Linked DNA regions of Tamandua tetradactyla. The protein of the gene in region 2 interacts with the protein of the main gene of each other region in a biochemical or structural test. Links are inferred from orthologs where the notes say so. Each region holds a gene or a part of one and is shown on either strand. Other genes may lie near its edges. The genes, in order: PFN1 and WASL.

The links.
Region 1: the proteins of WASL (region 2) and PFN1 form a complex in vitro, tested with the Homo sapiens proteins (2 studies listed by BioGRID). The link is inferred for Tamandua tetradactyla from reciprocal best matches to the Homo sapiens genes WASL and PFN1.

The regions. Positions count from the first base shown.
Region 1 is NC_135332.1:60,457,257-60,472,689, forward strand, and holds PFN1 (profilin-1), read left to right. Parts: upstream 1-7,668; 5' UTR 7,669-7,839; coding exon 7,840-7,971; intron 7,972-9,398; coding exon 9,399-9,591; intron 9,592-10,232; coding exon 10,233-10,330; 3' UTR 10,331-10,596; downstream 10,597-15,433. Other genes in the region: ENO3 (beta-enolase), read right to left, coding at 215-284, 367-425, 582-690, 1,102-1,303, 1,503-1,700, 1,789-2,011, 2,898-3,031, 3,414-3,483 and 3 more. UniProt on the Homo sapiens protein: Binds to actin and affects the structure of the cytoskeleton. At high concentrations, profilin prevents the polymerization of actin, whereas it enhances it at low concentrations. By binding to PIP2, it inhibits the formation of IP3 and DG.
Region 2 is NC_135327.1:164,609,977-164,624,698, reverse strand, and holds the start of WASL (actin nucleation-promoting factor WASL), read left to right. Parts: upstream 1-8,657; 5' UTR 8,658-9,029; coding exon 9,030-9,143; exon of another isoform or gene 9,144-10,196; intron 10,197-14,722. UniProt on the Homo sapiens protein: Regulates actin polymerization by stimulating the actin-nucleating activity of the Arp2/3 complex. Involved in various processes, such as mitosis and cytokinesis, via its role in the regulation of actin polymerization.

The DNA.
Region 1 (15,433 bases), on a different chromosome or scaffold from region 2:
CACTTCCTCCTTGTTCTAGTAGGTTACATGTCTGTTCTCTACCTGCCCTTCCTGCCCCCACCTCTCTACCTCCTGTCTTATCCAGCCTATAGACCAGAATCTCTTCCTCCCACAGAGGAGGACACCACTGTCTTGATTGGCACAAGTGTTTATTTCAGGGGGAAGAGCTTGAAGGCCCGGGTCTGTCCAGTGGGGGTCTGGGACCTCCGGCTTCTTATTTGGCCTTTGGGTTACGGAACTTGCGTCCAGCAAAGACAGCTTTGTCCCCGAGAGCCTCTTCAATCCTAGAAGGCAAATTCAGGGCTGCTGGCTCCTAACCCAACAGCCTCAGCTCCCCAGTTCCCAGGCCCACCGCACCCACAGTACCTCATGAGCTGGTTGTATTTGGCCAGACGTTCTGAGCGGCAGGGGGCACCAGTCTTAATCTGAGGAGTAGAGAGGAATTCAGAGGATTGGGTGAAGTTGGAGAGGGTTGGGCTGGGCCCAAGGGAGCAGCCTGTAGTGACATTTAACTCAGAGGTGGGAGGCCAGGGTCCCCAGAAAACCTGGTCAGACATTCAGCAGAGGAGAGCTATAAGTACCTGCCCTGTGCAGAGCCCCACCACGAGATCAGCGATGAATGTGTCCTCAGTCTCCCCAGAGCGGTGGCTCACCATCACCCCCCAGCCATTAGACTGAGCCAGTTTGCAGCTGGAGAGAAAGGGAACTTGATAAGCCTGATGGGACTTCCTCTGTGGGAAGCCAGAGGCTGGGGGCCCCCTTTCCCTTCTAATCTCTTCTGGGTACTGCTGCCCCACAGGGAAGTGGTCACTTTGCAGGGAGGGCAGTGACTATAGTTCTTTGGGAAGTAGGAGGGAAGGGGGAAATTCCTGTCTTGAATCTGAGCTCCTGAGATTCTGGTGGTAAGAATGGCAGAATCTGAGAGGAATGGCACTGAGGATGGGGAAGGGGAACATGGCAGGGTCACAATGGCAAAGTTCCCAGGTCAGACAAAGGGTGTAGTCAAAACCCTGTGGTCTGGAGGGTATGGATAGTCAGGTCGTGGAGGAAAGGTAGGAACAGAGAGAGGCTTTGATGGGCCCCGGGCCAGGAGGGACTCACGCCTGGATGGATTCAGTCACTGAGCCAATCTGGTTGACCTTCAACAACAGACAGTTGCAGGCCTTTTTCTCAACGGCCTGGGCAATTCTCTTGGGGTTGGTGACTGTGAGGTCATCCCCCACGATCTGAATGCCAACCCCCGCAAGGAATGAGGTCCAGGTAGCCCAGTCATCCTGGTCAAAGGGGTCTTCAATGGAGACCACTGTGGGAGTTGAATGCAGAGTCAGGGGTTAGAGGTCAGAAGGGGCCTCGTGGAGGAGTGATGGGGCAGAGTTTGGACATGCACTGTGATGGGGCTAAGGGTTGCAAGGAACTGAGTAGGTGGTAATGGAGACCACTGAAATCACTGTGTTAGTTGCCAGAGACTCTAGAAGGTACAGTGGAATGCATGGGAGTCTCACCAGGATAGTTCTTGATGAAACTCTTGTACAGCTCCCCCAGCTTATCTCCAGTGATGTGGCGTGCGGGGTCATCAGGAGATTTGAAGTCAAGATCATACTTCCCGTTGCGATAGAACTCAGAAGCTGCTACATCCATACCAATCACCACCTTGTCAGGGTAACCAGCTGCCTGGATGGCCGTCTTCAGCAGCTCTAGGGCTGGGGGAGGAAAAAGACAGGCCTCAGGCTCTAACCCTTCTCTGTGGGGGACCTATAGGTTCTGCCCCACAGAGTGTTCAGCACTGACCCTCATTGTTCTCCAGGATGTTGGGTGCAAAGCCGCCCTCATCGCCCACATTGGTGGCATCCTTCCCATATTTGGCCTTGATGACTCCTTTGAGGTGATGGTAGACCTCCGCACCAATGCGCATGGCTTCCTTGAAGGAGCTGGCGCCCACAGGCAGAATCATGAACTCCTGCATGGCCAGCTTGTTTCCAGCATGGGAGCCCCCATTGATCACATTGAAAGCCTAGGAAGGGGAGAGGGGGCTCAGACTTGGGCTGGAGGACCCCAGATGAGAGGGATCAAGAAGGAATGGGGTCTAGGTGGAATCCTGGCTTCTTTACTTACTAGGAGTCATTTTACTCATCAGAGGGTATGTCTCCATTTCTCTAAAATGGGGATAATACCTACTTCCCACAGGGACTTTTGCTGAAAATTAAGAAAAATTGGCCATAAAGCACTTTGCAGGTGCTTGGTATATGATAATAATGAAGACAACAGTAATAGCCAGCACTTACATGCCATGGCTATGTGCAGGTACTTTACATATGTTGTATTAGCTCACTTCACTCTCAAAACCCTGTTAACTAGGTACTATCATTCCCCAGTTTACAGATAAGGAAACTGAAGCATGGAAACGTTAAATAACTTGCCCAGGATAACAGAGCTAGTAAACAGACAGAGCCAGGATATGAACCTAGCAGTTAGTCTCCAGAATGGGTGGCTTTATACAACTGTTACTGCCTAACAAGTAACAATAAATGGTAACATTATTAAGATTAAATTCAAAAGGCTTCTATAAAGAGATGGAATTTGGTTTATTAGGGACCTAAGATATAAAGAAAGGCCAAGATCCTTGCCATGAAGCAGCTCTCAGTCTGATGTGGGGGGTGAGGCGCAGGGCTGGAGGTTGGAGCTCTTGAGCCTAGGGTTGGAATGTGAAGGAACTGGGTTAAGTTGCAAGGGAAGGAAGCATAGGGAGTCTTAAGGGTAGGTTTGGGCGGGGGAGGGGGAGCTGGACCACAGTATAAGAGGTTCGATTTCAGGAAACAGCTTCTCTGGAGCTGGGTCTGGAGGGCGGATTTTCCAGGGGCTGGCCCTGTGGGATCTGGCAGAGGTACAGCTGCACTTACTGGCACTGGGAGTACCAGGTCTGGGTTTCCGGCAAGATCTGCAATGTGTCGGTAGAGTGGGACCCCCTTCTCCGCTGCTCCTGCTTTACACACAGCCAAGGACACACCCAGGATGGCATTGGCTCCGAACTTGGCTGGAAAGGGCAAGAGGAGGTATGAGAGCTTCTCCCTCGGAGTTTGGGGTCATTTCTTAAACACCCTTTTTGGTGACTCTAGAATAATCCTGGCCCCAAATCACCGGCATTAAGTGCCTGTTAACAGATCTCTCCCATCGGCCTGAGGAGCTCTGGGAGACCCCACCCAGGGGAATGTAATATGCGGGCTTCAGGTCTGTGTCCACAGCCTGGGCCAGGCCTGGCAGAAGGCAGGCATCAGGAAATGCCTGTGGAGTGAATACAATAAATCCATCCAGCTATGGTGTGCCCCAAAATATGGGACACAAAACTAACCCTTACCAGGCCTCTGCCCCTGTGCTTTCTCTCCCATCCCTTCCCCCATCCCTAGCCCTTCACTCACACTTATTCTCGGTCCCATCCAGCTCAATCATAAATTTGTCAACTTTTTCTTGATCTACAACGCTTAGTTTCTGGAAGGGCAGATGTGAGGAGGAGAGAGTAGAAGTCAGATTTCTCTGGAGACAAAGCATGGAGGAGTGAAGAGTATTTGGGGGAGAGGGGGTAACTGGCACCTCTCAAGAACGGGCTGCCTTGGGTGAGCACAGCAGGAGTGTGGGGAGGAGGGTAGGGTGAGCAGGCTTCTGCACTTGCCTTTTCCAGCAGAGCAGGGCCTAGAGTCTTGTTGATATGTTCCACAGCCTTCAGGACCCCTGGAGAGGCCGGGAGAGGGGGTTCGTTCAGAATGGTTCTGCTCTCCCCAACAGTCTCAACGAGTAGGCCCCAGCTCAAGACCTTCAGGTTCCAGTCTTCTAACCCCTCTGTGCCCACCTGAAACCACCCACATGGGCTCCTCCTGCCCTGGCCTTTCCTTACCTTTCCCCAAGTAACGTGATTTGTCTCCATCTCTTAGTTCCAGGGCTTCATAGATACCTGTAGAAGCTCCGCTGGGCACAGCTGCTCGGAATCGGCCTGGGGTGCAAGGAATTGGAAAGTCACAGAGAGTCCCATCCAGGCACAAAGGACTGAGGTATTCCTCCTAAGCCCAGGGATAAGAGGATAGTGCAGAGAGAGACTTCTGCTTCTCCCAACTCAGGAGCCAGGTTGGAAGAGGAGTCAGAGAAAGGTCTGGGGAAGAGGACCCCAGAGGAAAGAAGGGATGTGGCACAGACCTAGGGGACAAAGGACAAATGGGTTTGGGGTCTTCTGAGGCAAACCAGTTAAACGGGCCTACATTACCCTTGGCCGTGTGCAGGTCCACCTCCACCGTGGGGTTGCCCCTGGAGTCCAGGATTTCCCGGGCAAAGATTTTCTGCATGGCCATGGCTGCAGAATAAGAGCTGAGTGTGGACAGCTGATCCCTTAAGGAACCAGAAATCCCTTGCCCTTTAAGAGTCTTCCCCACCCCAAGGAGGCAGGTGATGTAGCTAAAAATACCCCACAAAAGGTCACAGACCAAAGAGGCAGGCACAGCACCCCCTCCCCTCCACTCAGACTCTCTCCTATTCCAACCCTTCCATCCCAAGAATCCAGGGGCCTCTCCTTTATAACTCCTCATACTCCCATCCCCGAACTCCCATTTTCCCCAAACTGCCCGTATGCTTTCTCCTTCTAACTTCTGGTCAAACAATCTCCATGGCCTCTCCTTGCCCTCAAATCCTCTCTGGCTATTCTGGTTCTCATTTTTCTGCTCCCCAGTCGTCTCCAAATCCTCGGGGGAACCTTGATTCCTCATTTGACTTTAATTCTAACCACACTTCTGGATCCATCCCTGCCTGCCTCTCCTCACAGCCTCCCTTTCCCTGTATCCTTGGGTGCTCTCATTGTTTGCCCCATCCAATTTCTCCGGTCTGTATCAAGCAACCCCAGACCCAGGAGGAAAAAAAAGCTGAAATTCTGTCCATTTTCTCCAACTCAGCACCACCTTTACCCTTTACCATTTCCACCCCCTGGGGCTCACAGCTTCACCAGACCTGGGATGTCTTTGCTGGGGGTCACGGATGAGTTCCGAGTCTAGGTGGCAGCTGGGACAGTGTCAGCTCACCCCCTCTCAGGCTGGGCATTTATCCCCGAGCTGGTCGTCGGGCCAGCTCCGCCTCTCTCCATCCTCCCCCCTCCACACCTGGCTGGCAGCCAAGGACCCACTGCAGTCTGAAGCATGAAGTCTTTGGCCCTGGCCCCATCTCCCCCACCTTCCCACTTTCTCTCAGTTCTGAATAAAAAATCTCTCCTTTTAATTCTACTTCTTGGGAAGTTTAGGAGAGGGGCTTAAGGTCAGGGGTCTCTCTCTTTCCCAGGATTATATTCCCTTTTGCAAAGGTTAAAGAGGAACTAGTGCCCTTTAGGAAAGGCCAGGGGTAACCTGAGCCCTGCAGGGCTGGGGAGGGGGCCTGGAAGAGGGGCTGCAGGATTGACACCCACACATGCTCAGCTCACTTGGCAGGCGCCAGGCTGCCTCTGCCTTCAGTCGGGGGAGGGACAGTGGTTCTGGGCAAGCTCTGAGGTCTAACAGTGACTCCTCCCCCCACCTAGAAGGCGACCGGGTCTTACCCCTCAGGGTCTTCATACCGGTTACTCTCGGTTCTACCCTATCCTACCGTATCCCAGCGGCCAGGCGGGGGTGGGGGTGGGGTGCGGGTGGGGTCAGGGAAGAAAGCGGGGAGACGAATTTAGACGGGCTCTCAGAGCTGGCGCCACGCCCTGCGATAGAGCTGGCTCAGAACTTCTCTCTCTGCTTGGAGCCTGTCGGTCTGAAACCCCTTTCCTAACCGACTGCTTCGGGACGCGCGGCCCCAGTCCATCAATTGGATAGTTCTGAATCAAAAGTAAAACAAAACACAACAAACTGAATGAACCAGAGGAGGGGGGTGGCCCTTTGTGAGCGTCTGAACGCCGAAGGCCAGGCGGGTGGTCAGCCTGTAACTTTACTGAAAAGTGGGTGTCGGCACTTGGGAACTCTTCGCCTTGGAGGGTCTGGGGAGTGTGGGGTCTATGCCGAGTTCCGTCCGCAGCCCGGCCGGGAGAGGGAGGGCCGGCGGCGGTCACCGAGCACCTCGACTCCTCTTCCCGGGTTCGGAGGTTCTCCCGGCCGGAGGCGGGGCGGCCAGCGCCGGGTGACTCACTCCGGCAGCCCTCTCCCTAGCTTCTTCCCAAGCCCCCCACTCCCACCGCCCCATCAATGATCCTTCCCCCGCCCCTCCCCCTCATCTCCCGCAGCTCCCAAAGGGGAATTTTTCCACCCTGGAGCCGGGTGTGGGCAGGTCAGAGGTCAGGAGATGGCTGGCGGGCAGCGCCGCCACGTGCCCGCGTGCAGCCCCGCCCGAGCCGGCCGGTGACTCAGCCACCGCGGCTGTCGAGGAATACAGGCTCGGGGGCGATGGGGGTCTTTGGGGTTTGGGGTGGGACTCAGAAGAAGCTGCGTCCAACTCCGGAGAACGAGATGGAAACAGAGCCCCTTCCCGCCCAGGAGGCGCAGCAGGAGCCGGGCGTCCCTCCCCGGAGGGACCGGAAGCGGCCAAGCCCCATCGGCGGCGAGGTGGGTCGAATGGGGCCAGCTCGCCAAAACGGGCAACCAGGACCAGGCCCCCCGCCCGCTCTCCAGTTGGCGACGGGCCAAGTAATCGCGGACGAGTTCTTAGCATAAGTTTTATTGAAGAAATAAAAATAGAAGAAAAAGCCCAAACGGGCCTTAAGTAGAAGAAACAATCTCCTTCTTGAAAAAGTTGCTAATCTCCGGCATCTTTGTATTCTTCCGCCTTGAAAAGTAGTCCCGCCTATTTCGCCCTGCACTTAATGACCTCTAGCCGCGACGGGCCAAGGAGCATGACCGGTCACCCAAACTGTTGGCCGGGGAAGAGGGAGGACTGGGAAATGGGGTGAGGTGCTTGACTGGAGCTGATCCAGCGAAGAGATAATGCCCTGAAGGGGGCGGGTTCCAGGGAGCAGAACCTGTGCCACACGGGCAGATGCAGGAAACAGAAGTGGCCCCACTGGGTGACTTCAGCCCTGAGAGCGGCGGGAGCATTTTGTCTAACTCCCCTTCGCTCCCTTATTTCTTGAATAAATAAAATCAAGGGTGTCAAGGCGGCAACGCGCGCGCCCGCGCCCTCGCTCCCGCCCCCTCCACCAGGCGGACTCTAGTTTCCAGCCCGCCTTCCTTCGCCAGAAAGTCCCTAATGTGTCCGGCCAGCGCGTCCCAGCGCGCGCCCGCCAATCCTGCCGCCGGTCCCAACTGCTCCACGCGCCTTCCCTCCCCGCCCCGGCGCAGGCGCGAGCGCACGCGCCGCCGTTCGCCGTCTCTTCCCTCGGGCGGAGGTGGGGGAAGGGGTAGACTTTCCATTTAACCCAGGTTTCCCCAACCCTCTTTAGTTTGCAGCCTGCTCTTTCTTCCGCCTTTCTCTTCCTTACTTTCATCACTCCCTTGCCCCTATACCGAAGTCTGGTTTATATTCAATGCGAAGTGGAGTCCAAACCCTAACCTCTGCCCCGCCCCCGACTCCCAATCCTTTTACAGTGCTTTCTATCGAACTCTGCAAATTTTGCAATAGGGGGAGGGATTTTTTAAATTGCATTTGCAAAGTTCGGTCTCTGGACAGAGGGGGGAGGGAGGGGATGGGGAGCAGGCCCCGCCCCTGCCGCCCTTTGCAAATAAAAATCTAGGGGTGGGGGGAGGAGCAGGAAGTGGCGGTACGAGGGCTGCTGCACAGCCAGAAGAGCCGCGGTCCGGACGGCAGCGCGTGCCCCAAGCTCTCCGCCTTCCCTCGCCCGCCAGCCCGAGTCCAGTCCGCGGTTTCAGCAGCAGCACCGAGCGCAACCCCAACAGCAGCACCATGGCCGGGTGGAACGCCTACATCGACAACCTCATGGCGGACGGGACCTGTCAGGACGCTGCCATCGTGGGCTATAAGGACTCGCCCTCCGTTTGGGCCGCCGTCCCCGGGAAAACCTTCGTCAACATCACGGTACTGCGAGGCCTGCGCGGTGTGGGGAACTGACCGGGCTTGGACTCTGAGGGAGGGACTTGGAGGAGGCAGGCGCGGTCTGGGGAGGGCAGCTAAAGGCGGTGACCGGGTCTTTGCCCTGAAAGCCATGCGAGTGGTGACTGCATGTGAGCGGATCCCTCCGTCCGGCCTAAGTCCTATGCCCCAGGCGACGGCACCTAGCCCGCCCGCCCGGCTCTCGGCGACGGGGCGTTACATCCGGGGCACTGGGCGGGGAGGGGCGCGCCGCCCGGTGCGGCGGCCCACTTCCGCCTCTAGGGCGGGGCGGGTACGCGCTGCACTTTAACCAAGGATTCTGATTGAGAAGGGTCTTCAGGGCCCGTGCTCCACTTGCCGCTGCTAGCACGAGCCCCACTCCACCATTGTTCCCCCTGTGCAGGAATGAGCTCCAGGCGCATGGCCTGGGTCCCATACTCGCCCTCCTAGGAGCCCTGCCCCTCCCTACTCCGTTAACGAGGGCGAGGCTGCCTCACGCCCCCCTAATTCGGCACGTTGGTGCCGACATTTCCCGTGAGGCCAATCCCGGAAGACCTCTCGCCCTCCCCACCACCCTCGGGGTCTTGGAACGGGGGAACTTGGTGAGAAAGTTCTGCGATAGTGTAACTGAAGGAGTACGAGTTGGCTACTACTGTCCCCATCACCTCCCCTGTCCTCAGTGCCCGGAAGTGGGGAGGGGGAGCGGAAGTTCGAAAGGGGGGGAAGGGGATTTCCGGGCGGGAGGGAACCGGATGTAGGGGTTTGGGGTGTAAGGGGGAGGGGAGAGAGGTTCCCTGGGGTATCTAGAAGCAAGAACTGGCTTGTTGGGTTTAGCTCCGGGCGCTCTTCAAAAGTTTCCTAACTTTGCCAGGGAGCCCCCAGGGGTCTGCTTCCTCATCTCGGGGCATAGATGCCTAGGCCTAAACTCTAGATTACTTGGAGACCCAGGCGTCCGGGCCCCTAATAACTCCTGTAGAACCTTTGACCAAATAAGGGCAAAGTTACTTCTCCTGTCTTGCCCGCCCCCTCCCTTCCCCTCTCCGCTTCTGCTTTTCCTGAGGGAGATTTCTGTGCATCCAAAGGGTCCCCACTCCATTCCACTTCATTCTTGTCACTGACTTTTGGCCCCTTTTGCTTTCTGGGTTTGCTTTCTCTATTAAACGTCAAATTCTAAGTCTTCAGAGAAATATATCACTCCTTTCTCCATTCTCGAGTTTGGGGGATAGTAATCTTTTGTGCACTAACTTCCCGCAGTCCTAAGAGTTTCTCATATTTTATGGATGTGTACAAGGCACATTTATCCCTGGGGCGTTTAGCTCCCTGAGAAGTAGAAGGCGGATGGGTCCTTGAAGAGCAGGGTGGGGACCTTGGTACACTGCCTCCCTTAAATGAGTCCTCGATTCCGCTTCCAGCCAGCTGAGGTTGGTGTCCTGGTTGGCAAAGACCGGTCAAGTTTTTTCGTGAATGGGCTGACACTTGGGGGCCAGAAGTGTTCCGTGATCCGGGACTCACTGCTGCAGGACGGAGAATTCACCATGGATCTTCGTACCAAGAGCACGGGTGGAGCTCCTACCTTCAACCTCACTGTCACCATGACCGCCAAGAGTAAGTTTTCTTATCCCTCCTATCTGCAAGATCCCTAATGTACCTCCTCCCATTACTTTCTCTTTTGAGTTCTTTTTTGTGTGTGGTTTGTCACTGCAAAAGTAGTCAGACCATGTTCAACTCCCATTTCTGCTCCCATAGGCTGGGACATTGGATAGTCCCTCCAGTTTTGTCTCAGTTCCTCATCTTGTAATACAAAGAACTTGAAGTGCATTAATTTTTAAGTTCCTTTCTGCCTCGAACCTTTTCTAATTAGAAACTCAGATTTCTTGGGGTAGATTGCTGGGGTCGTAAAGCAGTGTTTAGCTCTCAAATTCTGAGCCCTAATGCTAAAACTTGGAGGTATCAAGCTCCTCATCCATAGCCATTTTCAGTCTGAATATGAGTTAACGGCCCAGGGGCCTTTGACCTGTAAATTTTAGTCTGCTTTTCTCCAGCCTCTAAGCTTTGATTTTCCCCTTTTGAAAAGCCCTATTGTTTCAGGGTGACTGACAGCCTGCCTGCGCCTCTGTGTCTGTGTTGGGGGGAGGTTGGGAGGGATGAGGTTGGGTTACAGCCCCCAGGGCTGGACAGCTGCTGAACAGCTGGCGGGGGGGTAGAATTGACACCTGGGGTCCTAGCCTCCTTTCTTTTTCCTCCAGCGCTAGTCCTGCTGATGGGCAAAGAAGGTGTCCACGGTGGTATGATCAACAAGAAATGTTATGAAATGGCCTCCCACCTGCGGCGTTCCCAGTACTGACCTCGTCCATCCCTTCCCCCCACCTTTCCCCACTGCTTTTGCACCCCTCTCCTTCCCATGCACACACACGTACATCATTTTTATTTTGGGGGTCAATACCCCATATCCCTTATTGCTGCCAAAACCACATGGGGCGGGGGCGGGGGCTGGATGTACAGATACCTCCTCCTACCCATACCCCTCCTGTGTGTGGTTGGAAAAGTTTTGTTTTTTGGGTTTTTTGTTTTGATTTTTTTTTTTTTCTGAATAAAAAAAGATTCTAACAAGGTGCTGTGTGGTTTGAGCCTGGGTGTCAGGTGGGGCACTGTGACTTGCTACCTTTATAGCCTTCTTTGGTGACTGGGAGGAATGAGGATGGGGACATCAAAGTCCAGAAGCTGCTTGCTTCCAGACTAGGCTTTCCTGGCCAGGGAGCTGGCCCCTCCAGAATTGCAGTTCCAGCCCTAAGTTCTAGGAGTGTTGAACTGATGTGGTAATGGAATAGAATCATCCTGACCAGAGAAAATGGGTCCAGGCCTGAGGGTAAGGCAGGGCCAACTGAGTCATCTCCATGTGTGGGTGGGGTAGGGCACCCCCCCACCTCTGACTCACAGTAACATTAGCCTGCTGGGACTGTCCCCATGACTACAAGTTAGTCTCCCAGCACCCCTCTGCCAATTATTAAAAATAAATTACTTATGGCAAAGAAAAAAGGGTAATTTCCCTCAAAAGAAGTTTACTTGTGTGAGACTATCTTGCCTTAATTCAGAAAAAAAATTTATTAACCCAAGAAGTGAAGACCCAGGCCCTTTACCTCCTCCAACCCCCTCAGTGATGAGGTTGGGGGAGAAAATGAGCTGGAATATCCCCTACTCCCAACACAGAACACTGGAGGGAAAAGTGAGGGGCTGTGCAAATAGGTCAGCAGAGGTCAGGGAAAGGGAGGTACTAAACCAAGATGGCAGCTGAGGGGGAAGGGGAGGGTGGGGGGTCTGTTGAGGGCCCAGGAAAAACAAGGGGAGCCGGAGCTAGGGAACCAAAGGAGGAGGGAACAGTCGGGCTGGAGCCCAGGAGTGGGGTCCTTTCTGAGGCAGGGTGGTCCCTTGGCTCCTCATCACCCTCTGGCCCCTGAGCTGCTTCCTCCTGTTCTTCATCCCCAGGCCCCCGATGAACAGGCTGCTTGCAGATGGGGCAGGTCTTCCGCGTCTGAGTAAGCCAGGGGTCCACACAGCGGCTGTGGTAGGCTACGGAGAGAATGAGGTGAAGCACCAGCTTGCTGCTGGTGGACACACTGGCACAGGTGGTGAGGGCCTCACCGTGAGCACAGGGAAGTACCCTCAGCTTGTCCCCATCCTCATACTCATCCAGCAGATGCACAGACATCATACTGGTCTCCTGAGGAGAAGAGAGGGTCATGCCCTTCATTGAGCCATCCTGAACCAGGAACCACAAGAACTCTGGGACGCCTGTAATGGAGCTAAGCCCTGCAAAAATGATTTTCCCTTGTTCCACAGAGCCTGTGGAAAAGATGGGGCAGTGTAACACCAGGGCAGAACAAAACATGGGGAAGAATGGGGTTAGAGGCTACAAGCAAAAAGCAGCAGAGGTAAAGGAAGTGGCTTTTTTGGGGGGGGGGGGTGGAAGAGGGTGGAGAGATAGGGAGTAGGAGAGCAGAAAGAGGGCAGGCTTCTGCTATAACCTTGTATGGGCACTGGAGGCTCCAAAGCCTGAAGACCCAGCCCCCTCCTTACCTGTTTCTTCCTTTTCTGACTGAATCCTCCCCATTTCTTCCCCCTACTCTTCACCTCCCTCATAAGCAAGGTCTGCCTCTCCATCTTATCCCCTAACTATTTCACGTCGTCATCTTTGCTTTCCATCTACTGTTCAGCTCTGCTCTCTATCTCCTCCCTCATTCTCATTGTGTCTGTGGGTAAAAAGAGAAGAAAAGATGGCATCTTGGGACTCACTGGCAGTCAGTCTCTACCATCTTTCTTTACCCTTATGTCCTAAACTCAGACTCCCTCAGAACCAAGTAAACTGTGGGAAACGTTCTCTTACCCCCTTCCCCACCTCACCCTTCTGATAGTCATGTGTAGGGATCTGTTTCAGCTGCTCTTTTGTCAGTCGATTCCGCTGGAGCCGTTTCCGGTGCTGGATACAACGAACTATCTGGAGGAAGGATGGATCAGGCTTAAGATATGAAACCAGACAACCTTGTACAAACCATCCCCACCTTCCAATGCCTGCTGGGGCTGTTCCCATGATTACAGGGCCAGATCCAGTCTGGCCTTAGAGACCCCAGCACTTCCCCTCAGACTCCCTGAACTACTCACCATTACTGCTCCCATGGCCAAAACCAGCAATCCCACAATCCCTGTGAAAGGGATCAGGTAATAGCCCAAGGGGAAGCCATTGTCTGGGACCAGCAGCACATGAGCCCTGAGGAAAAGAAGACTAGTATTTGGAGGAACAGGAAAGCCACAGAGGGATAAGGAAGAGGGATAAAGTGAATTGGTCCAGGACAAGGCCCAGGGATAGGGAAGGGGTGAGAAGAAAGTCAAGAAGCAGGGTAGGGAAATCCTGAGGCTGAATGGTTGGGGCAGCAAGATATGGGCTCAAAGTGGGTATGGAAGTTCTAAAGGATGTACACATCCTACCCCTTCTCGTAGATGAAGAGGGCACGCAAATACTCAGAGCTCCTCTCCCCAATAAACACAGACGGGATCCAGATCTGCTGCTGGATTTCCTCTGCAGGGATCAGGACGTTATGCTGGAGACTCAACCTTCCACTTCTCAAAGCCCTTAGGAACCCTGGTATTTGGCCTTTTTGCCCCATCCACCCTAAGGATCAGCTTCTCTCCCCTAGGCCTTCAGTTTCCACCCCTCAGCCTGAGCTGTACAGAAAATTCAGACCTCCCAGCCTTACCACTATTCCACACCATGTTCAGAAGTTCATTAGAATTCACATTGTGTACCACAGCTGCAGCATACCCAGCCTTCTGAGCATTTAGGACCTAAGGAGACAAGGGGATGAAGAGCCATCATGAGCCTGGTCTCCCATCATTCCTGTCGTCTTTTTAACTCTCAGCTTCCCAGGTCCCACCCCCCACAGGTTCCACCCCCCCACTCCAGCAACCTTGAGGTCAAAATTGCAGTCGAATCTTCGAAGCAGTGCAATAAAAACTGACCCGTTGACCGGTGCTGGGGGTGGTGGGGCAATGGGACTGCAGGCATTGGCTGGATGAGCCTCCACAAGGAACCCCTGGGGAGAGAAGTAAATAGCAGTTGGATTTTCTTCTTCCTGGGTTCTGCTCTCCAGGACACATTGGTCCCCACACGCTACACATCCTCTATCTCACTTTCTTTGTCATTCCTAGGTTCTGGGCATCCTACCTGAGTTAGAGATCTACATCTTCTCTTATCCTCCTGAGGATGCAATTATATCAAACAACATCTCTTTTACCAGACCCTCCCATCGTCCCTCTTGCCATCCTAGATGAAGTAATCTGTACACCATATTCCAGGCTAATTCGATCGACTGCCCATTTCCCAGTAATTGTAATTCAATTCTCTACCATCCATGTCACTTTCTCTCAAGTTCTGTTTCACATTCCCTTCTCTCATACACACACCTACAGAACACACTCCCTTGCACCCTTCAATCTCACCACCAATGCATTTCACAAACAACTATCACTAATATCGATGGCCCAACTGAGTTTTTGCTATGGGCACTCTTTGCGAAGTACTAAAAATTGCCTATCTAATTTAATCCTCACAACAACGCAGACATAGCTTCTATTATTAAGCCATTTTACAATAAAACAAAGGCTCAGAGAGGTAATTAACTTGTTCAAGGTCAAACAACCAATAACATGGCTCCAGAGACTCTACTGATAAACATCGCATGCCCCTGCCTTTTATCTTAGTCCCCTTTCAGTCTTCTTCACAAGGCTGGACGTTCTAAGGGAGGTACTCTGTAATCCAGTACACTAGGTACACTAGCTGTGTTCCTGTATTTCATTCCTGACGACTCTTTTCCTACCTCCAGCTTCATCCAGAGTAAAGGTCCTCAACCCCTGCCTAGGATCACGGATTTAGGAAAATAAGAAAAAGGGAAGAAAATCACCTGCAGTCCCTCCTGGCTAAGGGTAGCTCCAAAGAGAGCGGGGAGGTCTGCAAAATCCATGCTGGCATTGTGGTCCGAGGTCTGGGGAAAAAAAGAGTACATTTCCCCTTTCAGCCTGCAATCCTCCCTTCAGCGTCTTTCCCCCTTCGTCCCCTGAGACTCACCGCTCGAATGAGCCCCCGGATGGGGGCCGCTCCCCACAGCACAGCAGCCACAACCACAGGAAGCGGGAAGGCCGCAGGGTGCATGGCAGCGGGAGGGAAGAGGCCGAGAAGGCCGCGTCCTGATAGCTGGAGCAGAAGCGGAGTTCTGCGCCCTACCCGCCCCTCGCTCAAATCCCAGGGGTCCCACCACCCCCAGGTCCCATTTTCCAGCTACATGGGGGCGCACAAGAAGGAACCTGACTCGGGGAGTGAGATATCTAACCCGTTTTTTGGAGCTGGGAGGAAGACACTAAAATATCTTTTTCTGGTTTGAGGATAAAACGGGGAGAAGGGAAGGAGGCAAGCGCAGGTGACAGAAAAACTTCTGGAAGGGTGGGGAGCTCAAGAAGGTGGGACTTCCGGCCAGGTGGGCCGTCTTCCTATCCCTCGGAAAAAGGTTTCCGGTAAAGAAAGTCAGGCAGCTTCCAGCATTGGGCGCTCAAGATGAAGGACTTCCGGTCCTAAAAGGCCGGTTAAGAGAAAGGTTAGAGGTGAAGGGAGTGTCTGTGGAGATGAAGGGAGCTTCGATGCCCCAGAAGACGCCCTGATAATTTTTCCCTTGGCCCCCGGGATCCCGAGCTGTCCTGTTTACCAACCTTTCCTCCTCCCTCTGGCTGCAGCCACCACTGCCGCCAGCTTGGTACCGTCAGATCTCGCGAGAGTACTCTCTACATTACCCTCTTCCCCAGCCGCCCGCGGATGGCTTGTTCTATCTATCGCGAGAGTCTTCTTAACTTTAGCTGGCCTAGCTCAGTTGATCTCGCGAGATCTTCAACCAAACTCGTCTCTGTT
Region 2 (14,722 bases):
CATAATTTGAAAATTTATCCAAAGGTCTAGTTATAGGCTAATTTGACATTTATACTGTGACTTATTTTAATAGGTAAAGTTGAAAGACACTTAACAAAAAATATATAGATACAAATAGAAGCATTAGTTGTGCTTACCTGACCATAATACGGAGTTGGAAAACAATGAATTAGTCAAAATTTTGATAGGAAATTTCTTAAACTAAGAAGTGTTTCATTTCCACATTTTTTCCCAAATATAAAACTCATTGAAACTCTTTATTTGGTAAATTTCTTAAAAGACCAGAAGATTCTGTTTCAAAGTTTTTAAGTTTATAAATATAAATTTTTACAGGTATCATACTGCCATTTTAGACTTCAAAATCACATAATGATGAATTCATTTCCAAATGGTCATTTCAAAATATTCTTCGGATAACATGTTTCTTTTCATAAGCAGTGACTTTCTCACTCATGGTTAAAAATCAGCTTTACCTTGAAGGGACATATTAAATGTGTGTCTCTTCTCTTCCTTCTTAAAAAATATCTTCTGACAGCTATTCGCTGTCACAGGAAAGATCAACACATTTGGAATATTTATTTTGTGTAAAAAAAAAAGGTGTAACATCTGACTCAATTTACAAGGTAACTTAAAAAAGAATACAATGATTCAAAATTTACAAGACAATAACTAGTGAATTTCTTTGTAATAAATGATCCTTATGACCATTTCCTACCTCATTATAAAATACTATAAATAAATCATTTGCTTAGCAATCCAGTATGAAATAGGCTCCCTCTATCTAAATCCTACAACAACCAAAGATAGATTATTTTAGAATTGTCACAGAATGTCTCCTAGTGTCCTGCTGTGCTGAGGTAGGAATGGAACTTAGAGTTGGTCATTCTGACTGGTTAATTTATCTAATACCATCCTACAGTCTTTGAATTCCTCCAACCCTTATAATTTGATGGCAGAAAATTATGCTGTTCCCTAGAGCAAGGGCCAGCAAATTTTTCTATAAAGGGTCACATAGTAAGTATTTGAGGTTTTAGGGCATACAGTTTCTATCACAACTACTCATCTCTACTATGGTGGCACAGAAGCAATGATGATACAGAAAGGAGTATAGCTGTGTTCCAATTAAACTTTATAAAAATAGGCAACAGGTCAATTGAGTCCTGGTTATAGTTTGCCAATCCCTGCCCTAATATCTTGCACTCAGTAGGTACTAGATCTTACTAACCAGAAGCAATAATATAATTCTGTTTCTCTACCAGTTTCTTGTCTTAGAATATGAATGAGTTTCACTACCTCTGCCTCATTACAGCCAGAGAATGAATCCCAAATAACTCAACTTCTCTGAATATCTGTGGCTGACAACCAATTTCATGCTACAAATTTCAGAATTACCTAGGGTTCCCAGTTGCAAAGAACAGAAATTGACCATGGCTAACAAAGTCAAAAGGGAATTTATTGAAGGATATTGTAGGGCTCACATTTCTCAAGGATAGGCCAGCTTTCTTAGATCATCTTCCTTTTCTACTGATAGCATGTTAGTTCACTGTATAAAATAACATAATGTGGAATAGACCCAAAGAGTAGGAACTGCAAGAATCCTAAGTGCAATGGTCAAATAAATGAATGCCAGAGAAGTTAAATATCATCAAATACCTCAGGGAAATTTTGGGGGGAGGGGGGGTCTTGTGTTCAAAAGCAGTTAAAAATATTTCCTTCAAAACGAAAGGCATGTTGTTATTCCCTCCACAGCTTTTCAGTAAGAATGAGACTTAGTGGGCCTCTTTGGATGGTTATGGCAATAGACATAATTGAGTGCCTTGTTTCAACCTATTTATCTAATGATTACAAAACTGTTAACGTGGAATGGATCTGAGAGCAAAAGAACTCCCCCAGGAAGCTCAGACTGAGGTAGCAGTGGTTGCTTATTGTCCTTTATGATATAAAAAATACAATAATGCTTGGAGAGCCTGAGGAAGATTGGGATTTTGTTTTGACCTGCATTAAAACAGGAAATAGTGACAGAGGACACATTCTCCCTATGTGTATCAGAACATTATAATGTAATACATATAAATATGGCTGAGTAATTTGATCTAACATTCTTGAAAATCTTTTATGTAGGAGATCCTTGAGCTTTAGTTCCATTTAGTGGTAATAGCTATCATTTACTGAGCAACTATTAAGTTATAGGCTTTGTAGTGGCTGTTGTTACATACATTATTTCAATTTTACTCTCTACATAACCCCCGGAGATACGTATTATCTCCATTTTACAGAAATCAAGGTTCAGTGAACTTGAGTAATTGGACCATTGCAGAGTGGACTGCAATATCTGCAGTCTTTATGTTATATTATGCCGCCTTTCAACAAAATTTTTAAACATTTTTAATCAATAGCTGGTTGCTGCATAATAGCCCAAATATTACTCATGATTCGTCACACCTTTTATTTTCCATTTTTAGGCATAGATCAATGAGGAGGTGGAACTACATAATGGCTCAGGTCCCCTTGGCTCTAAGGCACTGATTCTAAATTAAGTTATTGAATTGAATGACTCCCAAACCAGGAATAATTTTTCCTTATCCTAACATGAACATTGATTCTGACTAAATCATTTGACTCATTTGACTCAATGATTTTCTTCATCTGAAAAAAAAAGAAAAAAAGGTTAATAGTATTAATTCCAGCCATGGGGAATTAGAATCATGCTGATCTAACGATTATCAATTATTAAACACCACAAAACAAGGGAATAAACCATGACAGGTAATATAGGATTCAAGAAACAAAGGATCCAACACAGAAAAGAGGTACACAGTAATCCCAGGATAGAAGCAAAAGAAAATTCCAGACAGTAGTTATGCAGCCAAAAGGGCAATAGCCCAGATTAATACAGGATGATGAAGGCTCTGTGAGTGCATCTAATAGATTTCCACATACATGTGGAAAATAGTATGGAGAAGGGTTTTATAGAAGGAATGGAGGGCAGTATGATGGTGGCTCAGTGGCAGAATTCTCGCTTGCCATGCCGGAGACCTGGGTTCTATTCCCAGTGCTTACCCATGCAAAAAAAAATTGATAAAAATATTGAGGGTAAAAATCAACAAAAATACACTAGTACAAGAATGTCAACAGAAGCATTGTGCATTACTTGACTCATTAGGAATAATACACAGTATTCTGTGTGATAATAATTTAAACACAAATTGTATTGTAACTGTTGGGGAAAGAGAAACAGGGGAGTGGTAGTTTAAGAAAGACAAATCCTCACCATTTAAATTAAGAAATTAATAGATAATGCTTTAAATTGATAAGTCAATAAATAGCAGCTTAGCATATTATTTAGAAATATCTATGTTCAAACAGTTCAAAGTAGACGTCTCTGGGGAGAGCAGATGAGAGTACAGAAGAAGCAAGTCTGGAGCTTCTGGTTTTTGTTGTTAATGTTGTTGTTCGTGTTACCAGCTTTGTGATACTATTTGATTTCTTAAATCAGGTATAGGTATCATTTTAATAAAAAGAAAAATTTGATTTAAAATTTTTTATGATAAAGGAGGCCATACCTTCACTATAATACTTTCAGCAAGTCAATGGAGAAATGTGGCATCTTAAAATCACCTCAAGTATATAAACTGCCTACTCATCTATAATGTAAATTGACCTTGAGCATATAATAGTAAAGAAACCACTTTTTTTCTTCTCTCATCTGGTATAAACAGAGAGGCAATAACTACTCATTAAAGAGTGACAGCTAGAATACCAGTAAGCAGCATCCTGGGAACCACAGGATACTCAGCTTCAAATTGTTTTTTTTTAATAAAGATAATGTTTTAGGCATATGGAGACTAGGCCATATAGTGATGGTAGCTAGCAGTGGTTGTGATGGTTCGAAGCTTTATGGACCCCAGAAACATGTTCTTAAAGCTAATCTATTCCTTGTGGGTGGGACCTTTACATCAGGTTATTTCAGTTGAGATACGCTCCAGGTGGGTCTTAATCCTCCTAATGGAATCCTTTATAAGAGGATGAAATTCAGAGGGAAAGACATAATGAGAGAGAAAACCAGAGAAACAGAGAGGCTAGCCACTGAAGAAAGAAGCTGAAAGCAACGAAGCTCAGAAGAGAAGGGAGAGACCAGCAGACATTGCTACCCGATAGAGGAACCCAGGATCACCAGTAGCTGGTCTTTAGGGAGAAAGCCGCACCTCTCAATGCCTTGATTTGGACATTTTCATGAACTCAGAACTGTAAGCTTGTTAACTAATAAATCCTCATTGTTAAAAGCCATCCCTTTCTGGTATATTGTATTTTGGCAGCTTTAGCAAACTAAAACACTGGTAATTCCCTAGCAGGATTAAGAATTCAATTTTCTACTGGCATAAATAATATATCAGAATAGGTTGCAAGTTACCTATTCCTAAAAATGTAAGATCCAAAGGGGATTGTACTCAAAATGAGTTTAAAAGGGAGAGGGAGAACATAATGGATAGTTGGATAGCTTATTTCCCAAGATTTTAGTTGAGAAAAAGAAAGTATTCAACATTTAACTTGGAAGAACATATATTAGGACAAATCCTCTTAAACACTGCTGTATGCAACATTTACATAAAAATGGGTAGATATTTTACATGAGCATTTTAAACCTATGACACCTGAAGTTTGCACGGGAGAAGTAACATTCATCAACACTACAGTGAACAGGTTTGCTGCTCTACTGTCTCTATAATCTAGTTCCACCATAGCTAAGCAGCACATCAGTACCAGCAATTATGGCTACAATGGCTGCTGAATGCCACAGATCCCTGTGTGAAGCCACCTCTACATTTCTCCACACTGAAGGCTGTCACTATATTTTAAATTAATAACATTAGCAAGGAGAACAGAGTTTCAGAGAACTTGTAACAGTACATAAACAATGACATTTTTAGAGAAAAAAAGGATAACAAGGGCCCAGGACAAGAGAAAATTGTAAGGTATGATAACAGCAGGAAATGAGTCTAAAATATGCCCTCATTTCCAGACATAAGCTACTCTAATGTTTTCTGTTAAAATGAAGGCTTTACCTTAAAAGATCATAGCAAGACAGAAAGAAGAAAATAAAAGTACTGGAATAGATTCTAGTTAGTCGAGGAAATGTCAAATGGAAGAAATTAAAACTTAAGAATTGCCTTATTCTTCTATTCACCGACATTTTAATAGTGCACATATATTTTATATGTATATAAAGAAAAAATCCCTGCAGTCTCTTTACAAACTTCTTAGCTTACAAACTTAAAGATTATTCAGTTAAAGGGAAATAAAATCATTCTTATTTCCTGAATCAAATCCAATCTTTCAAACTGGATAAAAAGGATCTGAGATAAGAAAATAACTTCACAAAGAAAACAGAGAAAGATGTCTTGTGCTCTGCCAAACAGAGGACATGCTATCAAGAATGAAGGAAAGGAAGGACTTGTTAAAACTTCTGAAACAAATACAGCCAGTACTGCTTGGTCTCAGGATGAATGAGGGAAAAAACAGAATTCTTTATGCATGGTAAAAGGGAGAAAAACATATGGCTGGCTCACATGCCCTAGAGAGTAAGGAAGTCATATTTCCAATGCAATGTTCATGCTTACATTTTTCACATTTTAAGAACAGGATCAAGTAGTGGGAATAAGTGCAGAGAAAGGCAAACTTACAAGAAGAGGGTTGAAAATAAGAATTGAAATTGCAATTTTATGGGTAAAGTACTGTATTTAAAACTTTGAGGAAAAATTAAAGGAGCGAATTGTATTTTCGTTTCCTGGGCTGCTCAAGCAAATACCATGAAATGGGGCGGGTAAAACAATGCGAATTTATTAGCTTACGGTTTTGAAGATAAAAGAAAGTCCAAATCAAGACATCATCAAGGTGATGCTTTTTTCCCTGAAGACTGTGGTGTTCTGAGCCGGTTGTTGGCAATTCTTGCTCTTTAGTTTGTCATATGGCAATGCACATGGCAGCCTCTCTATTCTCTTTTGAGTGTCCTTGATTTCAGCTTCTTACTCCTGTGGCTTTCTCTCTGTCCAAGTTTCATCCCCCTTATAAAGGACTCTAGCAATAGGATTAAGACTCATTCTGATTGAGGTAGGCCACACTTAACTGAAAAAACCTCATCAAAAGGTTCTACTCACAATGGGTTCACAACGACAGGAATGGATTAAATTTAAGAAGACGTTTTTCTGAATACATACAGCTTCGGATCACCACAGTTTTGGGCTTGAGAAAAGTCTATAGTGGTAATTATTTTTAATTCTCATCACTAAAGAAAACAGAACTAGCATAAATAGTCTTAAAATTGTACTTAGAAGACATTTAAAATTTCCTGAAAGAAAAAAACGATTAAAATAATAGTTTAGGCTAACAAGAGGTTGTGAAATTATTGGAATCCAATAGTTCTCAGCATGGGATAGTTTCTTCATCTCATACCTACTGTCCATTCACCTATTCTCCTGTAGCTTCTATTTTTCACAACCATCTCCAACATCTCTCCTGCCTTCAAAATAATTTGGTCCTCTACAAGTCCTAAAAGCTGGTATTTCTAGCAAAAACATTTCTATCATTCAGTTTTTATCAGTTAGAAATTAATGTGATTCTGTCTCTAAATTTGGAGTTAAAAATTTTTTGTTATACTAGGATTTCATATATATATTTGCATAGTACATAGTCAAATAAAAAACTATGCTAATAAAGAATTTATGCCCCAAATTAACCACCAGATTTTTGGTGAAGTAGGTAGAACTCTAAATTTGAAGAACAGTTTTCAAAAATCTGGCTAACGTTGAACACAGACAACTCAACTCTCATCTCTTATCTAAGAGAAAGAAAAACAGAGCAGACAATAGCATGGGCAAGGACTGTCAATAAGGAGCAACTAATATTTGAGTAACCACTATGTATCAGGTACTTTATAGACGCCATCTTGGTAAATTTTATGGTTTTGAAGTAGGTGTAATTATCTCTACTATATTGCATCTTTATAAACTGGAAATTGAGGAAAGATAAGAAGTAACTTGTTTAAAGGTTCTAAGTGGCAAGGAATCTAAATAATTTAGAACTGATGCAAGTACTTTTGTTACTATTCTAGTTCACAGGTTTGAAAACAGTAGTACTCTAATTTCTATTATTTCTCAAGTATTTGTAATGCTTTCTACTGTCTGTCACTGTGCTTTGAACTTAAAGGAAAGGAGACAAACTGGTTTCCCTTCTAGGTTTATTTTTAAATCTTTAATTAAGAAGCAACTCCAGGTTCACATTCTACTACTGCTTCTCTAAAGCTAATTACTTTATAAGTAGTCCTCTTGCTTTTTGTAAAATTTATTTTTCCCCAGAACATTATCAAACAAGTTTAACTTTGAAATATCCATATTTTAGGTGAGGACTCGAAAACTGTATGCTTTCATTTTCCTTTGCAGACGTTTTCTTGTCTACCCAATTTCATTAAAGGCAGTTTTAATTTTCAAAGTGCATAGAAAATTGCTCATCAACATGTGTAGTGTAACAGAGATTTGTATTGGAATGTATTAGATTTTAGAAGCAAAAACTTTTACCAAATTTTAATTGTCACAGGATGGATGTTTGATTGGTCTGATATACGAATTTTTGTAAAAAAAAATTTAGTCAGTGAGCATGATGGTAAAGTTTCTGCAATAACGCTTATTTGTTTAATGTGAAGAAGTCAAATGAATACAGTTGGTATTCTTTATCGTCCTCAAAATTTCTTTTTACAAACTAGTTGTTGAGCATTTAATTCACTGACCAAACGGGGTTATCTTAGGTAACCTTCAATATTATGAGGCATACACCCTAAAAAAACAATTAGAGATTTACTTCTAAGGATTAAACCAGGTATCGTATTTTCCTGTGTCACATCCCAAAATGGATTCAGTTGTTTACTTTCTTAATATATTCATTTTGAATCAAAAGGTGTTTGAGAAAAATATTGAGGGGTTAAAAAAAAGTTCTCCAATTTATGTGATAGGGAAAAAAATGTATTCAGGGCCCTAAGAAAAACTTTATATTTAAGTGGTATGTATACATTTAACCCACAGGACACGACAGGCCGGCCATGGAAATCTTTCCTGAGTGCGTCTGTTGTTTTAACAGCCATCTCTGGATCTCTTTCACTATAGTGGGAGAGACCTGTTTGTTCCTTCATTCGCACCGTCGAAGTTTGGACAAAGTTTTAAAAACCCCAAGCACCTGAAGCTGTAACCCAAACCAACGAGGAGTACCAAGGAGGGTGTCTCTTCTCCCCAATGTTCCGTGTCCAGATTCCAGACCTTTTTGACAAGCAGTGTGAGCTTCCTGTTTCCGAGCTTCAGAAGAGCCTTAAGGGAAATGGAACCTGGGTCCTCACGGACGTCCACGTAAAGGTGTTCGCCAGCGTGAAGGAGGCCGGGCGACTCGGCCGCGGACACTAGCTTTCATTTTTTCTTTAGGTAGCAGACGCTAGGCCTCATCAAGCAAAGGACTGAAGCGGCGGGCAGCCGGAACCGACGCCAAGAACACAGCCCTTGGCCAGAACGCGCAGCCTCTCGACCGGAAGAAGGCGGGACCTTTGGCCGGCGCGGCGAAATCCGCTGCGGCTAAGGGGGGGTTCCACTCAACCGTGCGTTTCCGGTGCACCCCCGCCTTCTGCGCGCTGTGGTCTCGCCCATCCCCGCTGCCATGTTGGATTGTGCGGCTGCTACTGCCGCCGCCGCTGCCGCCGAGGGAGGGTTGGAGGAGGAGTTGAGAGTTTAGCGCAGGAGCAGGACTGAGAATACAAGGAGCCTCCGGCCTGAGCTTGGGCGGACAGGATCTAGGAGCTTCCCTTTCTCAGCGCGGCTTGGAGGCTGCTCGCCGACAGCTCCTCCTTCCCTTGGCCTCCTTCTCCCGGCGCCGGAGGAGCTGCGAGATGCTGCGCCTCTGATTCCCCTCCTCCCGTCTCTGTCACCGAGAAGGGGAACGAGCGGTCGCCCACTTGCTGGAGGAGACGGCCTTGGACCAGCCCCGCCGGCGAAACCATGAGCTCTGGCCAGCAGCCGCCGCCGCCGCGAAGGGTCACCAACGTGGGGTCCCTGTTGCTCACCCCGCAGGAGAACGAGTCCCTCTTCACCTTCCTCGGCAAGAAATGTGTGGTCAGTGGCTGAGACCTGCGTCGCCACCCCCGACTTTATCTCCTGGGCCCGGACTTGAGGGCCAAGAAGGGGAAAATGGGAGTGGGGAAGGAGGCGGGAGAGGCGCGGGGAGGATCCAGCTGCTGGCCGGGCCTCCCGCCGGCCCCGGTCTCGCTCCCTGGCGTGGGCTTTGGACGCCGGGGTGGCCGGACGCGGCTTCTCTAAGCTGTCGGGTCACAGGGCTGTATCACCTCCGCAGGCCTGCCCTGGAGTCCTACCGGGACGGGCCCCTATCCGCACCCTTGCTGCTGGTTCAAACTTTATTTTCAGGCCACAAGGGGATTTTGTTGCGCGAGCCTCATGACCCCTGATTACCAGCTCCTTCTCTGGCCTTCCCTCCACCTCCTCCTTGATCTGAGGGTGTCCTACTTCACAATGGCAGTGGTCTGAAGAGTGGACAGACAGGTCGGGAAATTAAGCCCATATATGAATGAAGCAGACCAGAAGATGGTTTTTTAATCTCCCTGTAGGCTCTCAGAAGGGAACGAATTCTAGGTTCCTGGGCTTTCTTCGGTTCAGAACGAAGGCAGGAAATGCTGCTGCTCCCAATTGCAGAGAAACAGGATTTATTTCCCCAGTAATCTCATGCAGGCTACTTTCTCCCTTCTTCCCTGCTGATTTTTTTTTTGTCTTGGTGGAAGAGAGTAATTTTCTTCCTCAGCCTTGCGCGGGGTAACAGCAGTCTCAGTAGTGGCTGGCCTTTGGGGCCTGAGAATGATTCTTAGGTTCCGGGTGTGCGGATGATTTCGACCCCAGATGGGTTCGGAGCAAGCAGTTCTACTGTGGGGAAGGGAATGTGTGTTGTTGACGGAAGCATTCATTACTTTGGCTGCTGGCAGTTCTTGGGGTGGGGAGGTTGTGCTCCGTGGTGTAGGCCTTGGAGTAGGCTGCATCTGAACAGTGGTGGCAAGGTTGAACTGTGATTAAGTTTGTTGAAACGCTGAATGGCGTTTCCCTTCCTTGCTTGTGAGTATCTGCAGAGTATGCAGATACTCTGCAGATACCGAAGGCACTTTCAACAAGGATATACAATTTTATAACCTTCCTTAGTAATGTTAAATATGTCAAACCAGATTACACCTGTTTGTTTAAGAAGTTAGTATCAGACAGTTTCTGAAACTTAACGGATTAATGGTTAACTTCACAGGGGACAACTCTTTGTATCCTGTGCCATGCAATTATAGATTGAATCATTACATTCAATTTCAGATGTTTTCACGTTTGAGAGGTTAATCTTAAAGAACATATTTTAAGTTTACCTATCAGAAGAATGAAACGAGGTAGACATGAACACGGATTTTTGGGATACAACTGTAAAGATAATCAAGTCCTTCCGTCCCCCACACTTTTTAAACAAATGAGAAAACTGATCCAGTGAGCTGTAAGTCACACAGCAATTTAGAAATGTAATAGAACTAAAAAACCAGGACTCCTGATTCTTCATCTGTTGTATTTTCCACTACATCATGTTGGTTTTAGAAGGTATGTTCTTAGTTGTTACTGATTTTTTTCTAAAAGTGGTGTTAAGGGAATAATCACTTCATTTTTTTTCCATCAAATATTAATGTGGTTCCCGGTGCCTGCCCATGCAAAAAAAATTAATGTGGTTAAAGTGTAAGGTTCATAGGAGCCCTAATAAAATCTCTAGGACTTTGAATCTTTACATACCCTGCAAATGAAAAAAATCATTTCAATTTTGCTGGTTTATTATTACTTTGTAATGTATATCAAAAAGGAAGTATTTGTACTATGTTTATATACAGACACATCAACTTTAAGCAGGAAGGCCAATACATTTATACACAAGTATACTGACTACTTGCTCTGTGCTTTCCAGTAGTGTTTACTGGTTTCAAAAAATGACATATGTGGAAGTATGCTGTGCAGATGTCATTGCTCACTGGTTAGTTTAAGTGGACTGTGGAATAAGCTGCTGAATTAAGATTGCGGAATGCTCAATTTATTTGTCATCTATTATTAACAAAGACACTTTACTTTTTGAATTTTTCTCATTTAAAACCACACTTACAGTTTCCTGCTTTTGTGGGATGAAATTGTTGCAAAGCTTATCGTTAATATTTGAAGTTCCCAGTTAATAGAGAGTAAAAAGGATATTTTAATTTTTTGGAATAATCTATTTTTTCTCTGTGGTTTATGCAGTATTTATTAGTTTAAAACAATATTAACCTATATCATCTCATTATATACAGCTTTAAGATTTACAGGTTAGGCCAAATTTGTTAGGCAAGAAGTAGAGCTCTAGATAGTTATTTAAGAAAAGAAACAGAAGTAGTTATAGTTCCAGCTTTTGAGGATCTTCATTCCTTCTTTCATTCATTCAACAAAAATGTATTCAAGTATTGTGTAACCAGATATTGAGGTCAAAATCAGAGTTGACGCCTGTCCTCAGGGAGCTTACTGTATCTAAAAAGAGATACACGTGTAAACTAGTGAGTAAGTCAGTTCTTTATAATGATGTGTCAGAGGCAGCTTGTTACAATGAAAAATGGTTTGGCTATGTAGACAGCAGACCTGGATTAAAACTCATTGGGTCACTTTGGGGAAGTTTCTTAACCTTCCTGTCCTGGATTAGATTTTCACATTTGTAAAGTAAGGATGCTATTTCATAGGGTGTCTGACTGTGTGGAAGAAGGACTAATGTTAAATAAATGGAAACTATTGTTTTTATAAAGGTTGAGGTAGTTTTGGTTTAGGGGATCAAAGGAGAGGGTGGTGGAAGAGAAGATGAGGAAGCGTGCTTTGGAGTGAGTGATACCTGAATCTTTACAATTAGTAGGCACTCCCTGGGTTGACAAGAGAGGTATATGATAGTTTAGAAGATTAGGGAACCTATTAATAACTTGTTATGGAATGTGGGGGGGGAGTTCTGCTTGAGTTTTCAAATTTAGGTGTGCATTGGAATTATTGTAAAAGTTAGTAGAAATACATAAGACTGGGCCTCATTCCTAAATAATAGTCAAATTCACTGGATCTGAAATGGAACTTGGGAATTAGTTTTTTATCAAGCTCAGCAGATGATTCTGTTGTATATTAAAATTTGAGAACTGCTGTGGAAGGCCACTGTTTCTTTTTTTAATTTTTTTTTTTTTTTTTACATGAGCAGGCATCAGGAATTGAACCCAGGTCCTCTGGCATGGCAGGCGAGCATTCTGCCTGCTGAGCCACGGTGACCTGCCCAAGCCACTCTTTCTTGAAAGGGTAATCCTGGCAACAGAGTGGAATCTTGGTCAGTATTTTGTGTGTTGAATTAAGTTAAAACAGTTTATTTTAGTGCAGCATTTCTCTGACCCCTTAAATTATCAATGCATATCTCATATCTGTAAGAGGGCAGTGCAATTGAAGAAGTACTGCACTGATTAGTGGGGGACCACATTATAAGACTGGTCTTTTAGAAAGTTGGAGGGAAAGGTGGAGGCAGTATAGAAGGTAGATTGAAGATTGTGAAATTGGAGACAAAAGAGATCAGATAGGTGCTTGCAGTAGTCCCCATGAGAAATGATGGGTTTGAAGTAAAGCATTACTGATAGGAATTTAAGGACAGTTAGAAGGACTAAATCTCATTTGGATTGAGGAATTGAGGTAAAGCAGCTCTTATAACCAACCACCAGCGGAAAGTTGAAAATATGCCTAGATGTTATTGGGACTCTGGATAGGTGCATGAATAAGACTTCATGAAAGAGATGAATCATCAGTAAATCTATTGTTTTGCCACAGTTTTTAAAAATAGATTTTGTGGAAGATGGGAGTTCATTTAAAGATACATGTAATATATAAATATATGTAATATGCATTTGCATAAATAGTTCTGATGCAGTTCATTACCTGCCATATTTTCTTATAAAAGCGAAGAACAATTAAGGAAGGTTAGAAACAAGATTACCTGGTCTTGTTTTGTAGTGAGTTCTGTTGTGTCTCTCATAAAGTGTGATTTAACTTACTTTCTACAAGGTGTAACTTGACAAATGGGATTTAATGTATATAGCCCTGAGTAAGTGAGGAATTACGGAGTGGGAAAATTTTAAACTAGCCCATCTACAGCTATTTCTGATCCAAGTGGATTGAGGTTAATCCAAACAGATTAATGTTGTTGACCATTAGCTTTTCCTGTCATACTCAACCTGGTTTGTTTCAAGATTTAGTGATATATAAGGAGCTCGTTTATATTAACCATCTTTAATCTTTACTGCCTTTAATTCCTCAGCACTTGTTTCAACTTGCGTGTATTCTTTAGTTTTGTTTATTTTCTCACCCTATATATAACTGGAATTTAATCTTCTTTAACCTTACACCTAAGTAGTTTTCTGTAATTTTTATAAAATCTAACATACAAATCACTGAGTACTTTTGCTTGAATAATTATAACTGTTAACTTGTTTGTTCCTTAAGCACTCATTTAGAACTACTCATTGCTTGATCAGTTTGTCAAACCTTCTTTTTTTATATAGATGGTCTCTGAACCATAGTTTTCATTTATTAGAACAAACTGGCTTAATGCTGCTGCTGAACTAATACAGACAGAAGTGGTAGCAATAACAATTTTGTTCCTGTTCTAAATCAGATCCTTTGGGCGGTGATTCTTAAAATGATTTTGGAGTGAGATCCATAGTGGGATCACTATTGTATTATAAAAAGTTGTGAAAATGTATTTCACATTGAGTAGTGTGGAGGGAAAAAAGGTTAAAATTCACCGGATTTGAAATACACAAATATGAGAAGGCAACCTGTCTTTAAGGAGCCTATAGTCTAGGATAGATGAAAAAGGTTAAGTGCAGAAAAGTGTCATATAGGGTCAACTAAGCACAGGAGAAGATTTACAAGAGTACAGTGGGTCTGGGTATACATCCTTTGTCTGGTTATTCTTAGCTTAAAGCTAAAGGCAAGGGCGGGCCATGGTGGCTCAGCAGGCAGGGTTCTCGCCTGCCATGCTGGAGAACTGGGTTCGATCCCTGGTGTCTGCCCATGCCAAAAAAACAAACAAACGAAGACTAAAGGCAAGCTTCTTAATCGATCTTAGTCTTAGATTTGTAAAGTGGGCTTAGTGAGGATTCAAAGAATAATGCAGTAATATATATAAGGTACATAGAGTGTCTGACCCTTATAAATTGTTCTGGGAATTTGGAGAAGCATATGAAAAGAATGCTATTAATATTATTAAGTTTTTAGATTTCCTATTATTAGAGGAAAGGTTTTCGAGTAAAATTTTGAATTCTAAACTGTATTTGTTTTGATTTAGGTAAATTAATTCTAACAATTTTATTTAAAGTGCAGTTAATTATAGAGTGTGTGAGTTGAGTTACAGAGCAACTTGGACAAGTCTTTGCGCAGCCTTGCCTTCCCTGATTGCTGACTGAAAAAGAGAGGACTACTGGTGTAGAGTTAGAAGTTCTTGGGTTTTAGTCCAGACTCTGGCATCAATTAATTGTGAACATGAATAGGAATCTCTGCCTTCCTGAACCTCAGTTTCCTAATCTGAAAATCAGGGAGTTGTACAGTATAACTCCATAGTCTTTCTGGCTTTA